Linked DNA regions of Schizosaccharomyces pombe. The gene in region 2 interacts genetically with the main gene of each other region. Each region holds a gene or a part of one and is shown on either strand. Other genes may lie near its edges.

The links. A genetic interaction does not mean that the proteins touch.
Region 1: mutations in ebs1 (region 2) and hrq1 together harm fitness more than expected from each alone (negative genetic interaction), as found in Schizosaccharomyces pombe (2 studies listed by BioGRID).
Region 3: mutations in ebs1 (region 2) and pef1 together harm fitness more than expected from each alone (negative genetic interaction), as found in Schizosaccharomyces pombe (2 studies listed by BioGRID).

What each region holds. Positions count from the first base shown.
Region 1 is NC_003424.3:4,113,150-4,118,884, forward strand, and holds hrq1 (RecQ type DNA helicase Hrq1), read right to left. Parts: upstream 4,066-5,735; 5' UTR 4,033-4,065; coding exon 960-4,032; exon of another isoform or gene 785-959; coding exon 666-784; 3' UTR 524-665; downstream 1-523. Other genes in the region: mrp51 (mitochondrial 37S ribosomal protein bS1m), read right to left, coding at 1-447; mgs1 (DNA replication ATPase), read right to left, coding at 4,138-4,236, 4,277-5,051, 5,096-5,113, 5,159-5,189, 5,233-5,735. UniProt on the Schizosaccharomyces pombe protein: Helicase with 3'-5' helicase activity involved in genome stability. Functions in the nucleotide excision repair (NER) pathway and plays a critical role in DNA interstrand cross-link repair.
Region 2 is NC_003423.3:1,732,261-1,738,917, forward strand, and holds ebs1 (EST1 family protein), read left to right. Parts: upstream 1-1,964; 5' UTR 1,965-2,093; coding exon 2,094-4,769; 3' UTR 4,770-6,102; downstream 6,103-6,657. Other genes in the region: sterol transfer protein Osh2, read left to right, coding at 1-877; rpl1701 (60S ribosomal protein L17), read right to left, coding at 1,160-1,723.
Region 3 is NC_003421.2:685,998-689,194, forward strand, and holds pef1 (cyclin-dependent protein kinase Pho85/PhoA-like Pef1), read left to right. Parts: upstream 1-1,737; 5' UTR 1,738-1,756; coding exon 1,757-1,784; exon of another isoform or gene 1,785-1,835; coding exon 1,836-2,674; downstream 2,675-3,197. Other genes in the region: pgl1 (6-phosphogluconolactonase), read left to right, coding at 1-88, 207-795.

The DNA of each region.
Region 1 (5,735 bases), on a different chromosome or scaffold from region 2:
ATTACTGTATTGAATACCGCCAGAAACTCCGTAACGGCGAAAGTTATCATTTTCGTCGGATTGTTTAGAAGGAGAAAATACCTTATTTATGTCACGCGTATCTTTCAACCCCGTTTCTTTCAATAATTCTTGCAACAAAGCAACTTCAGAAGGATCTCGTACAAATCCAGCATCAAACCAATTGCGAACTAGACGAACAAATTTAGCGCTTGATTGAAAATCTGCTTGCTTGTATAAGGAATCTTGCTGCCGCACACATATGTATCTTGTCTTTATTTTTGGAAGAGTCCTTTTCAGTCCCCAATCACCACGAGCTCTACTATTTTTTTTTGAAGTTATGGATTGCAATCGAGGAAACCGAAGGTGTGATGTTGAATAATTGGATTCTGGAAGACATTTTGGAGAAGCCATTGCCCTCGAGCCACGGAGAATTTGTGCAAAACTCATATTTTTACAAAAATTCAAGATTTATATTGGGACTTGGCTTCTATGAGGAGAACGGTGGCTGTACGGTAGTAAGCACTGAGCGCTGTCAGTATCTAACATTGACTCCGGTAAGTTAGGGTAGGGTTTAAATGTAAAATCAAAAAGCACAACGCAATATTAGTAGTACTAACTAATAATTTAGTCTAATATAAACAAAATAAAAAAAATAAATTCAATTATTAACAAGAAGGTATTAAAGTTCGCAAAGCGTGATATGAATCAATCTCTGGTCCATCAGCATATATATCTAAATTTACATGTTGACACAGTAGCATTTTCAATAAGATTAAAGCGCCAACTGAAAGAAATATGTTAGTAGAAGTAATGTGAATAATCTATTTAAGTTTGCAAGCAATCCCTTTTCATTTGATCATAAAAAAAATGAGAGTGTTATCTTACAAACTACTAAGCGACCAATCTATACGGGATTGCTTCACCGTCCAACAAAAAATGCAAAGTATATCTATACTTACCCTTGTCAAGTACTTCTCCAGAGCAAACTCCGCCTTCAAATTTTGAACTCGTAATACATCCGGGACAACCTTCACGAACTTTGCAATCGCAACTCTCAATTCGCTCAATGGCCATTGTAATTAATTCATCAGTATGTTCATATGCCTTGTTGCATAAACCAGCACCAGATGAATCACCACAATTATCATAGAAAATGAGTCGGGAAGGACGTCTTCGCTCGCTTTTAGCCTCTTTATACTCCTTTTCACCCGCTTTACATTCTGTTCGAATATCGTTACCGCTGTTACTAATAAAAATTGGCATCAACGAAAGTAAAGCATGTTGGGCAGCATGTATACTAGCGGCTCCATTTATTTTTTTTAATGACAAAACCTCAATGATATGCCAAGGTACATCTATCCAGAAACCTCGACTATCAATTTCAACAGGATGATCGGTAATATCTACCACGTCCAGAATATCTTTCTGCTTGTTAACTTTGAAATACCCAAATACATGTAATGTTGCTTTAACAGCCCCAAAATAAATGTTTGTACTTCCATGCATAGTCTTCTTCATTAAGCTGCGAACAGGATCAACATCTGTGAAATCTCTTTGCAATGTTGACCATTCAACATCAACTTGATGAGCAGTAATAATTCTCTTGTTAATATTTAGGAGCCTAATGATAAACGTTTTTCCTTGATAAACATAAACTGCACCTTCGTAAGCAGTTAATGCAACACGAAAAGGTTCGAGGAGTTCTAGAATAACATTCTTATCATTTGTGACATCGACGAGAGTAAACATGTCTTCACTAACGCTTCGTATCCGTACCTGCGAGGCAGGAAAAGGAAGATATTTTGGATGAGGCCGATAACTCTCTTCAACCATTTCTAAATTTGCTTCGCAAATGTCTTGAATTTGATTTCCAAAAAACTTTTCGTCGCTCCTTATGTTAATGGGAAGCTCATATGCAGCACACTGAAGATGACTCGCTAGTAATACCTCATTTGTCAAGTCTAAAGTGAGTTCAGCATTTGGTTGAGTGTGAATCAAAATAGGATGCTTTAAATAAAACTGATCAACGGGAAATGTCTCAACTATATATACTGCTAAGGAAGACTTATTCCTTCTACCAGCACGACCAAATTGCTGGCGCAAGTTAGACAAAGAATATGGAAATCCTATGGTTATAACGGCATCCAGTGATCCTATATCAATACCTAGCTCTAAAGCATTCGTCGCAATAATCCCATATAATTTCCCGTTAAACATTTCACTCTCTATCTTCCTGCGTTCCTGAACCGTATACCCAGCCCTATACGATTGAATCTTAGATAAAAGATCTCCTTTTTGTTTGGTTTTTAATTCCTGCCTCACTAGTCTCATTAACGACTCACAGGTTTTTCGAACACGACAGAAAACAATTGTACGCACCCGCTTTTCGGCAAATTTAATAAGCAGTTTCGAGGCTTCAGAGATTGCGCTTTTCTTTCCATCATCAGGATGCTTGGGGTCGACATAAGGTGGATTCCACATTACAAATTTTTTTGAACCAGAAGGAGAAGAAGTATAGTTAATTAGTTTTATATTATCTACTCCAAAAATTTTTTTCATATGTTGTAAAGGATCCTCAATAGTAGCCGAGCATGATACAAATCGATATTGACTATTTCCAAAGTACTCAGCAATACGGCGCATCCTTCTTAGAACAAAAGCAACGTGAACGCCAAATATTCCATTGTACACATGAGCTTCATCCAGGACGAAAAGTTTCAGGTTTTTAAAGAAATAATACCAACGATTAGCATTGGGAAGAATCGTTTGATGTAACATATCCGGATTCGTAAAGATTATATTTGCAGATCTAATAATACTTTCTCTAGACTCAAGTGGTGTATCCCCATCGAAGGTGTCCACTCGAATATTCTTAAGCGTCGGCATATAGCTAAGTATATCGATTAACGACTTCTTCTGATCTTGGGCTAAAGATTTAGTAGGGAATACAAAAAATGCCGTAGATTGATTATCTTCTAACAAACTTTGTAAAATTGGAATTTGGTAAATCAAAGACTTTCCACTAGATGTAGAAGTTGACACTATAACATGAAATCCGTTCCAAAGGTGGTTGATAGCGTCTGCCTGATGTTTGTATGTCTTTTCGATGTTTCTAGATGTATAAAGAGCATTTATAAGCTCTTGAGACAAAGGTCGAGACAACGCTCCATATTGTGCTTCAACAGCAGGATAAGTATGTAAAGCTTCTTGGACTATTTGCCCTTCGTAAGAAGATTCAGAAGCTATTTCATTTAAAAGTTCTTCAATTGAGCACGCTTTAGTATTTAAATTGCAGTTTTCTATTGAATCATTAGGAATACTCGGTGAATCAGGAGGAACCGGCTGGTTTTTCCGGGATTGAGTTAATAGCTGTTGCGTTGGGTCAAGTTCTGTCAATTGACATTTTTTTATATATTCTTTAATCCCTTGAAGGAACTTTTGGTTTCGTAACTCTATGGCTTTCTTCAAATTATTAAAATCCAGCTTTTGCCTCTGGATATTAGCCTTCATTGTTGGGCCTTCACGTCTCCTTCGTTTGGAACTTCTCTCTTGCGTTTCTAAAAGCTCAATAACCAAAACATATTCAGAACTCTGTGAGACCGTTGAACCAGTGTACAACTCAGGGTTTAGATCAGTGTAAACATTTTTATTGATTTCTAATGCAAGGCTAGCAAGTGATTTATAATTTAATTCAATTATTTGAGGACATATTTCTCTTAGCTGAGATAAATCGCCGATTGTCAACTCCTTTTTCAAACTTTGCTTAACACTCGAATTGAGAAGGGGAAAAGTGATTGTAAGAGAATTTCTCAAATAAAGAAAAGTGTATGTAGTATTAATTACCTTGAATAAATTAAAAAGATTGTCAAATATGGATGGAATAGGCTGATTAGCTTGAATAGTTCCAAGTTGTGGTTTTTTTTTGGGATTATCTGCTTTCAGAGGGAGCTTCCCTTCATTAATATATTTTTTAAATTCAAATTTATCATCCTGATCATTAGATTCTTCCTTTTTAATAGGAGTTTGAGACATTACCCCTTCACCATTAAAGTATGGGCTAAGTGCAAAGGTATTGAAATACAATGATTTCCATTATAACGTGGTAAATGAACAATTAGTGAAGGATCACTTATATAATTATTTAGTATCAGTTTTTAAATTTTTAATTTCTTCATCCTCTTTTAACTCTATAGGTAGCTTATAAAACTTTGTTCCCTTGATAGAATCGGGTAAATACTGAGTAGGTTAACAAATTGAAAAGAATATTTTTTATTACCTCTTGCATTACTAATCCGTCTTTATAATCCGGATTGTATTTATATCCTTTATGGTATCCTAATTGCTTCATCAAATTTGTAGGAGCATTTCGAATATGCATGGGAATTTCAGCCCTGCCAGCATCGGGATGAGAAGACAAAAAACTTTTTACAGCATTATATGATCTGTAAACGTCAACTGATTTTGGAGCTAATGCTAAGGCGACGGCGCAATGAGCTAGAATTACATCGGCTTCAGGCATGCCAACTTGTTGAACAGCAGTAAATGTACTGGATGCTAGAGGTAGCATAGAATTATCTGCTATTCCAATGTCTTCGCTTGCTATTCTAACCATTCTTCGTGCCACATACAGTGGATCTTCTCCAGACTCGAGCATTCTACCCAGATAGTATAAAGTTGCATCGACATCAGAACCCCTTACTGATTTATGGAAGGCAGAAATTGTATCATAATGAACATCACCTACTCTGTCGTAAAGTGCAGAAGATCTGACTAGCTTGTCCTTAATATCTTCGAGTGACAGGGGTCCTTGTCTTAGCATTCCAATAGACATTTCTAAAGCATTTAAGGCCATTCTAGCATCTCCGTCTGTAATAGCAGATATGTAATCAATAATAGATGTTTCAACGTTGGGCATAGAAGATCCTAGTCGCTCACTTTCCAGTAAGCAAGCATGGTTTAATATTTTCTTAACATTATCACGCGTTAGTTTCTTAAGCACAAAAACGGGGCATCTGCTAATGAGAGCAGAATTTAGTCGGAAAGAAGGATTTCTACAATGTTAATCATGGTGGAAAACATTAGTGTTTAAACATACTCAGTTGTTGCGCCGATCCTAATTCAAAGGTTAGCATTTGTGATATTAGAATGCATCACTTACAGAGTAACTAGACCCTTTTCAACCATTGGCACTAGTCATGGTTAATTGAAGAGATAAAAAAATATCAAACTTACAAAATATATCCTGTTGCGCACGGTTGAAACGATGTACTTCGTCCAAGAAAATAATAGTCTTTCTTCCTGTCAAGGTGAGATAATTTTGTGAGTCTTCAAAGATTTTACGACAATCAGCAACAGTCGTCGAAGTCGCAGAAATTTCTATGAACCTTGATTTTGTTGTAACGGCAATTAGTCTAGCAAGCGTAGTCTTTCCAGTTCCAGCACTACCCCATAAAATCATGGAATTGCACCTATCTTGTTCAATCAGATTACGAATGATGCCTCGCTCACCAACCAGCTCTTCCTGACCAACATATTCATCTAGTGATTTGGGTCTTGCTCGTTCCGCCAGTGGTCGTGTATCCCGTCTTGTAAGTTTAGTTTTCTTTGTAGGGCTGGGTTCAGGCTCTATAAATTTTGTAGCGCTCTGGTGAGATGAGACATTTGTTTCTAAATGATGTTTATAGCGTTCCTTTTTAAAAAAGGGTGAAACAGGTTTCGAAGGGCCTGATGAGTCC
Region 2 (6,657 bases):
AGAAACATATGAATTTTGTCACCCTCAACGTGGATTCAGGTTTATTGTGGAACAAGTTAGTCACCATCCTCCTGTTGGAGCTGCTTATTCGGAATCCGCGAACTGGAAATATTACGGAGAATCAAGTGTTAAGTCGAAATTCTATGGTAAAAGTTTTGATATCTCACCCCTTGGTACATGGTTTTTGGAATTAAGACATCCTTCTGGGGAAGTTGAATTGTATACTTGGAAAAAGGTCACCTCATCTGTCGTAGGGATTATTCTTGGAAGCCCATCGGTGGATAACTATGGCCAAATGCATATTGTAAACCACAGCAGTGGAATCAATTGTGTCCTTGATTTCAAACCTCGTGGATGGAGAGGTACAAATGCCCATGAAGTTAAAGGAAGTGTACAATCGACGGATGATACTCCTAAATGGATGGTTAACGGACACTGGAATGATAAAATTTTTGGTCAGCAGCCAAATGGAAATAAGATTCTGCTATGGCAAAATCATGAAAGACCGCCTCGTCCTTTCAATTTAACCCCTTTCGCAATTTCACTTAATGCGCTCACTCCACAGTTAAAACCCTGGCTTCCTCCCACTGATACGCGTTTGCGACCTGACCAAAGAGCAATGGAAAATGGACAATATGACTTAGCAGCATCTGAGAAAAACCGCCTTGAAGAAAAGCAGAGGAAAAAACGCCGTATGCGTGAGCAAGGCGAAATGCCACCATGGTCTCCAAGGTGGTTTTCGGCGGCTAAGCATCCCGTTACTGGTGAAGACTATTGGCAGTTTAACAACGAATATTGGAAAATAAGAGAGGAAGCTGGTGAAGCTCATTTGGCCGGAAAGGAATTTGAATGGCCTAATGTTGATGATATTTTTTGAGATCTCACGAAATTATTAATCATTTTGTTTTGCAAAAAGGCAAGGAATGGCAATCCAACTATTTGACACACTATGACCAACAACACTGAGTAAAGTTTATTTAGTTTTATTTAGTCTTGATACACTACTACAAGTAGACAGTATTATAGATATTAATAATGAAAAAATTAGCTACATAACTTCATGATACATTAAATGCTACAATGTTCTTACAAAGAATACGTATACGCACGAAGTGTATTGAACACATAAGTACAAAGGAGAAATTTAGTAAATGAAATTTTAAGCAGCAGTAATAGCTTTGCGAGCAGCCAAGTTTCTGGCCTTGGCACCTTGCTTCAAGGAAACACGGGAAACGGTGTCGTTAGCCTTGGGGACTGCTTCCTCCTCTTCGGCAACAATGATTTCAATGTGAGAAGGGCTGGAAAGGTAAGCAGTGACACGACCGTGAGCACGATAAGTACGTCTGCGTTGCTTAGGGGCAGCATTGACTTGGACATGCTTAATGATGAGTTTGTCCATGTCTAACCCCTTAGCCTCAGCATTAGCCTCGGCATTCTTCAAAAGGTCGTAGAAGAATTTAACAGACTTGACGGGCCAGCGAGCTTGGGTGACGCCAAACTCCTTACCTTGAGCAGTACGGCCAACACCGCCGTTGAAGCGACGGAAAGGAACGGCTTGCTTGTGTTCCTTGACGTTGTCAAGGAAGATGAAGGCCTTCTTCAAACTCATGCCATTAATGGTAAAGGCAACTTCACGAGAGTTCTTGAAATGGGTTCTCAAGTAAGCTCCGCGAGCTTTGGCGCACTTTGTCTCAAGAGCAGGGGAAGCTGAATAGCGGACCATTGCTACTTTTGTTGTGGTAAAAGGCTAGTGCTCTTCTCTAGGAATTTACTATTCTCGTTTCTAGTGTGAACAATTGTGACTGGTTTGGACACTTAGGGTAGGGTTACAAAAACATGCTAATTGACCTACCCAAAAATGTTTTGGAACCTTCAACATCGGTATATTGTTTAGTGAATATGTAGCCACTTCCTTAGGTTTCAGTAGATTCTTCCCATTTTTTGTGTATTTTTCTTGCTCCTTCACCGATCACCGACTTTGTCTACAGATTTCTTTTCTTTTCTCCTCACTCGTTGTTTCATTTGCCTTGGCATTTCAAGTTGTGGCATTTCTCCAGCGACGGACTATCAATTAAGGAGAAGCGATCATACATATGAGCGCCATAGATTCATGTGAGCATACAGTGTCTTGGAAGTTGTGTGAACAAAAATACAATGAAGCTACTACACTTCTTTCCAAGTTAAAAAAGCTACTCGGAAACTTTAAAGAAAATTGTACAAGCGTTGTAGTGGATGGCCACAAAAAGCCACGCTCCGAATCAAGAAAGAAATATGATGCTAAGAAACAGCATCAATCGAGTCATTTTGCAACACCTGTAAAGGGTGTTGAGTCCTCCGAACCCACTGAAAAGAAAAAAAGGAATAAAGAGGCTCTTTGGTTGAGGGCCAGGCAGAAAAAATGGAAAGAAATCTTCGAGTTATGTCAAAAAATAACTTCCCTTCTTGGTGGAACTATTTTGATTGATGTTTCCTTTTCTATGGAAAAAGATGTTTTGACGTATTTGTGGATGCGGGTGCATTACCAAGTTATCTCCTTTTTTAAGCATCGTATCTATGAAGCATCTACCCAACATGACCCGGAGCTTTTAAGCTCACTTGTTACTATGCATATTCAGTATTTGAACTCAACCATACAGTTTTACACTACTTTGATTGCTATAATTGGTGAATTATATCATTTACAATGTCTCAGTCCATTAACTTCTTTCTTTACATCTTGTGTAACTCCTAAAACGATTTTAGAGTCCCCTCTGCGAAAGCAAGGTTCTCATAATTGGAAAACAAGTACCAATTCGCAATCAAGGCTTGCTGCTCTTTTTTCCTCCATATTTGAAGATTCTTGTTTGGAAGTTGACTCTGTGAAAAGATTACTTTCAGGCTCTCCATCATCCTCTTCTTCTCCATTAAAGAAAGACTCTTCTTCTAATTCACTCACTTACGAACCTGCATTAACTGATCATAAACCACAGTATTTGGTTCTTTGTGTGTATAGGTCTTTGATTTACATTGGCGATGTCCACCGTTACTTGGCTGAGGTTCGTTCTCCAAACGTACCTGATTATCAAGTTTCCCGTAGATACTATGTTATGGCTGCTAACGTAGCACCCGATTATGGTGTTCATTTTCACCAACTTGGGCTAATCGAAGTTGCCGATGCTCGATCTTCATCCAGAAAGTCGTCCTCTGGCCAGAGCAGTTCCCTGAAGGGTAACGTTAATGTAGAGGATAAACGTCTCATTCAAGCTTTACCTGCTATTTCTTTTTTCTTTTTGTCATCCATATCCCCTAACAATGTTGCGGCCTCATCGGCTAAGACTAGTTTATTTATTGCTTTGAAGCGTTGCTTCGGCAAAACTAATGATGGTTCGAATCCCTGTTTATATCATAAGGAATCCTCTGCCATTTCCCTGTTTTTGCGTCTGTATGCAATTGCTTTTAGTAATACTGATGCCGACTACATACAAGACTCTGGTCCTTTATTCAAACGAGTTCGATTTCTTCTTTCTGAGTCACTTAAAAGCGGCTTGTTTTCAGAATCCTCTTTATTACAGATGACATATTGTGCATTGGCTGCAAGGGTTTTAGCTCCATTTATTGGCTTTAGTGATTCTGGAGAACACGGTGAGTCGTATCCGAATTTAAAGCTTGCTACACAAACTACAACTATGTTTTTTGAAGTCCTTTCTGATTCAGTGAATAGCCAGCTTCCTTTACAAGCTCTTACCTCTGGTGTGTCGAGTAAGAAGGACGGTAATTTTGATGATCTAGTCGAACGTCGTCAATATGGATCTCTGTCTTCAAATGCTGTACTTATGCCAATGCTTCTACCTTTGTGTGTTTTGACTTCTTCGTGTTTGCAAAATGGGGACGTCTGGCTTACTAAAGATATTCGAACTGGACTTTCACAGATATTCAATCGTTTAAGCTTCTTTTTGGAGAACACAAATCAAACAGCTCCCGACGACTCTGTTCTTGTACGCTGTTCTTCTAAAAGTATCGGCCTGCTATTCTTTTTCCCTCTTGTTAAGGTTTGTGGAGTTCCTCGTGATACTTTACAGTGGCTTTACTTTTCAAATCATTATCCTTTTAATGAGGAAGGTAAAGGTCCCCAAGTTGATGATTCTGACGCACTGATAACAATTGCGTTAGATTCTTTGTATGTGTTACTGAATATGCGAGCGAAAAGTACACCAAATAGCACATCTTTTTCTTCGCCTCCAACACCCCACAGATCTCCATTTAGCGGACAGGCTTTTACTGGAATGGGATTATCGAATTATTCACTAATGTCCTCATCTTCTTTTCCATCTGCTCAATCTTCTCCTACATCTCCTTTTTTATCTGGAACACCATCCATAGCTAATCAGTCATCTAGTATTGCAAGTCTGCAATTTGGGAGGATGGTGGATAGCCTCGTTGGACCTGTTCAACCTATACCTGCTCAAACTACCGGGTGCTCTGTTCATTCATTACAACAACGCACGTTTTCAAATGAGAGTCCTAGAGCTGTCGATTCTGGTTTTAGTAGGACTAGCACACCATTTAGTGAAAGTACTAGTTCTTATCCTTTAGTGTCTGGGAATCTCAGTTCTTGTGAGACACACTTGAACGGATCTCCGCAAAACGGACATTTACAAGGTGAACGTGTTTTATTCCGCCCATTGAGAAGCCCTGCTTTAAACACATTTTCTACGCCTGCTACGGAACCTCCGGAACATTTGGTTTTGTCTGAGCTATTAAAGAAAATGGTTAACATCAGCAATAATTAAACTGTATTGTTGATTGTAATGTTTCATTAAAAATTCTGAAGTTTGTTAGAAGCAGTCAATTAACTTTGCTGCCAACAACGAACAAATTTCTTGCTTTATTTCTCACGAAGTGAAATAACCCAAAATAATGTATCACGGATTTCTTTGTTTATACACTGTGCTTACGAATTAGAAATGGTTCTTCACTTGCCTAAAGAAAGGCTTTGACTTTTATATAAGTATGAATAGTCATCAAATGGCCTAAAGTGTACGGGTATTCACGACACTTAAATTAAAATATGGTCGATGGGAAAATAAAACGTTGTTTAGTTATCATAGCGCTGTTCTGGTTTGACCTAAACACAAGCAATTAAGGCGCTTCCCAATGTTACAATATATATCATAGAATGGGTTAATTGTTTACATAGGACTGCGTTGAATTCTTTAAATAGAATCTTTAGCCTCGAATTATGAAGTTATCTGACTTGTTGGATATCCTCAGCTTGCCAATTGATTGATAATAAGCATATGAGCTTGGACAGTGAATATTCAATATTTGGTTACTCAGTGCAATTTGTTTTGTGATTCTAAGCAGAAATGCTCTTTATAAACATTTACTGCACTATCTTGAGTTTCTAGAGCTTGTTCTGTATCCAAATTGTAATGACTGGCGATTCTCAAGTGCCAGATCTTATACCTCTTTTTATGTCTTTACCAGACGTTATCGTAATGCCTGGACACAAAACTAAAGTGTAAATTTGTCTTTCCTATGAAATGCTTGGTTTTTCATTAAAGTGTTACGAATTCGAAACATATATCTATGATTTTTGAGTATACACTGGCGGTATCTGTTGTTTAAGATAATTTAGTTTTGAGTTATTCGAGGCAATCAATTTCTTATCAAGTGTGATTCTCTTTTTAGAAAACCAAACTAAAAGTAAATCTATTGATCTTTTCAAGTATTAAGACAACTTGTTTTCTTTTGGATAAAATGCTTTTATTGTTGCATAATAGATTGATAAAGGTACGAAATGTATAAATGCATTATTTTATGTTGAGTACTTTACTCTTTCAGGATTGTGTTTGAGCTAAGCTTCTTGCATCTCTCATTCATCATCACACATCTATATTGAAAGGAAAGAAGGTAAAAAACGAACAAGAACAAAGTGAATACAAAAGAACGAATTGGATTAGTATTGTTATTGCATGAAAGTGATCTTATGACATGCATCACTATCCTATCCAAATAGTTTGTAGAGCCAGTTAGTAATAATACTTTCCAATAATTTGAATATGTGTGGCATGCCATTTGGCACGATTTTGAGAAATACAAAAATAAAATCATCTTGTAAAAGAAGAGCAATTAGCTGCTTTTTTATGTACCAGCTGAAGGAAAAACATTTGTTTTTCGACGTATAAAAAAAAACAGAAAGACATCAGCTTAAAGCTTTAAAGCTAACTTGTTTAAATAAGTTTGTAAGTTACAAGTACAATACTTTCTATTACACTTGGCACTCAAAATCGTGTGGCATATGATTATAACGATGCCTCGGATTTCCTTACTTGGCACTAGGTAATACGGTACACTAACCATGACAATACACTAGACAAACGCGAGCAATCTTCCAGCCCTAGTACCTAAGATCCATTGCAAAATTGTTTTGGTTGCGAGACTTACCTGTTTTATCCATAACCATTTGTTAAAACCTTCCTTTGAAGATTTGAGAAACAGGTATCATTTGTGGACATTGGTCTTTACAATTTCCTTGTTTCGTGATTATAAATATTTTTTCCCGGATTTGTGTTATTTACTATAATTTATTGGTAAATTATAACACAAGTGCTCATCTGCTTATAAAGCAAAAGGATTTTCACGAAAATTCCCTAGAAAGTAACCTGTTGTATTTTT
Region 3 (3,197 bases), on a different chromosome or scaffold from region 2:
TGTTCACTTTAGCTCTTAGTGGAGGAAGTTTACCAAAGGTTTTGGCTGAAGGATTGGCTCAACAGAGAGGTATCGAGTTTTCCAAATGGTAAGTTAACAGATATTATATACTTTTGAGTTGTATGGATTCACTGTGGTTTTGTTTAGCTTTGGTTGACGTGAAACACTCTGTCTTAAGGCAATTTATGATTAACAGCTCTATTTAGGGAAGTTTTCTTTGCTGATGAAAGAATTGTTCCTTTAGATGATGAAAACTCAAATTATGCGCTCTGTAAAAAGTTGATTTTTGACAAGTTTGAAGGATTTGACCCTAAAAAAATTCATACCATCAATCCTGAGCTTTTGAAAGAAAATCCTATTGACCCTCAGAATGTTGCTGATGAATATGAAAAACAATTAGTGCATGTGTTTGCAAATAGCTCCACTGTTAAGGTCCCTGTGTTTGATTTACTGCTGTTAGGATGCGGTCCTGATGGCCATACATGTTCTCTATTCCCCGATCACGAGGTACTCCAGGAAGACGTTGCTTGGGTGGCCCCAGTCACTGATTCGCCCAAACCCCCTAAAGACCGCATCACTTTGACTTTACCGGTTGTCACACATGCTCAAGCCATTGCCTTTGTTACCACAGGTGCTGGTAAGAAGGATATTTTGCCTATTGTCATTGAGGATTTTACATCTAAACTTCCAAGTGCGCTGATCACTCGAAACAATTTGACTCGTACAAGCTGGTTTGTGGATGATGAAGCATCAGCCAATCTTGAGAGATCCTCTTTGAAGGTTTTCCCTCAATAGGCAGTTCAATTTAAGCAGGTGGCCTTTAGAATGCTTAATTGCTACATGCTTCGGATTCATTACTTGTTTCTTTAAGGTCTTTCAAGGGAAAGGTTGCAGTTCTCTTTTGTTGTTCGTGAGATTCTTTGCATAAACGCTTTAGATAATGACTTTCAAAATGCTTTCAGTCACTTCCGTGGAATGCTTGATGACCAGTTTTAACACATGTTAGTAGATTAGGAGAGAACTTGTTCCTCAAATCCTCTTTGCATTTGTTGTCTGTTTTTTATTTTAGACTAGCGTATAAAGGTTAGTCTTGTAAACAATGTGTAAGAAGCTAATGCTTTATTAAATTGTTTTATTGCTTCGTTTAGAATCATGTTTAGTTGATTGATATCACTGGCCAAACCCACACTGCAGAAATATGATGTTTTAATGAAGAAATGAATCATTGAAATATATAAACTTAAGCTATCTTGTATCATTTTTTGTTGGTGATAATGTTCTAAAATGTGTTTCATCAACAAGATAAAGTAAACCAATTGTTTTTGAATTGCAGTGATATAGTTTAGCTTCAATTCTTTTATTAAATCATTAATTCATTTTTAAAATTATGCAAAATTACGGCATTTTCTCATACTGCTTATGATAGATTTTAAGCAAAGATGGAAATTTATATCCAAAAACATGCAATTGCTTAAACTCTCCTTTATGTAAGGGTTTATTAATACTTATGTGTTTTCTACAGATGGCAACCTTCTGATTAATTATCATTAGGTTAATTTGTGATAGAAGCTGTAGTGATCTTAATTACAATAGTTTACATTATAGCAAGATGTTCGACATGACTCAATAGACTAAAAATTTTTTTTCTTAGCATATTCTTCAAAACTGTAGGTCTTAAAAACAGTTTTGTTAGCTTAACATCACCTTAAGTCGTTAGTCATCGTAGAGGAGGCACTTGATATTTCCATCGCACAACATGAACTACCAAAGGCTTGAAAAGTTAGGTAAGTATGAGTTTGAGGTCCCAAAATTTGCAATTTCATTAACTTAAGTAGGAGAGGGAACATATGCGCATGTTTATAAGGGGCAAAATCGAGTGACTGGTGAAATTGTCGCTCTCAAAGTTATTCGTATTGATGCAGATGAAGGAACACCTAGTACTGCTATCCGTGAGATTAGTCTTATGAAGGAGCTTAGGCATCCCAATATTATGTCTCTCTCAGACGTTTTGCAAACCGAAAATAAGCTTATGCTCGTTTTTGAATATATGGAAAAAGATTTGAAAAAGTACATGGACACTTATGGGAACCAAGGAGCTCTTCCACCTTCTCAAGTAAAAAATTTTACTCAACAATTACTCAAAGGGATATCTTTTTGTCACGAAAACCGAGTTCTACATCGTGATCTGAAACCTCAAAATTTGCTTATCAACAGTCGTGGTGAATTGAAATTGGCGGATTTTGGGTTAGCCCGTTCAATTGGAATTCCAGTGAATACTTTTTCAAACGAAGTGGTCACCTTATGGTATCGTGCTCCTGACGTTCTTTTGGGTTCTCGAGTATATTCAACTTCCATTGATATTTGGTCAGTTGGTTGTATCATGGCAGAAATGGCTACAGGACGTCCTCTATTTGCTGGGTCAAATAATGAGGATCAGCTACTAAAAATCTTCCGATTATTGGGAACTCCTACTGAACAATCATGGCCCGGAATTTCTTTACTTCCTGAATATAAGCCTACTTTCCCTATTTATAAAGCACAAGATCTCGCCTACCTATTTCCAACATTTGATCCTCTTGGTTTGGATTTGTTACGACGGATGCTTCGTCTACAACCTGAATTAAGGACGACCGGCCAGGATGCGCTTCAACATGCTTGGTTTTTAACCGCATAGGCTGTAAATTAACATCAAAAAGTTTAACCAAATTACGATTTTATTTATTCATTTCAGTTTCCTATTGAAATCATTAATTTTTTTTTTGGAAAGAATGCATTTCACCTAGGGAAAGAGCACAATATTTTTGGACGTTCAAATTTCTTCGCAACTGTTTTAGCCCAAGTAGCTATCCCTATTGATCTTTTTTAAACGAGGTTTAGAGGTAAATATTTGGTTATTATTTTGAGAGGATTTGAAGCTGTCGAATATATTTTTAGCCAAGAATTAAACGGCGTTTTATTTTCTACGATTAAAATATCGTCGCTGATGACATTCAAGTCGTAAATGAAATACTTAAAGAATTGAATGATCCGCATTGCGTCTGACATTTTTATGAAGGAGCAAAAGGATAATATTCAAAAAGCAATGCGGGTTTTTAGTATACTGATAATAATTTGCGGATTTCAAGCAATTATCCGCAATGCACATGAAAAACAATCTTTTTTCACTTATTTTTATTAGTGGATTAATGGCTTCCTTC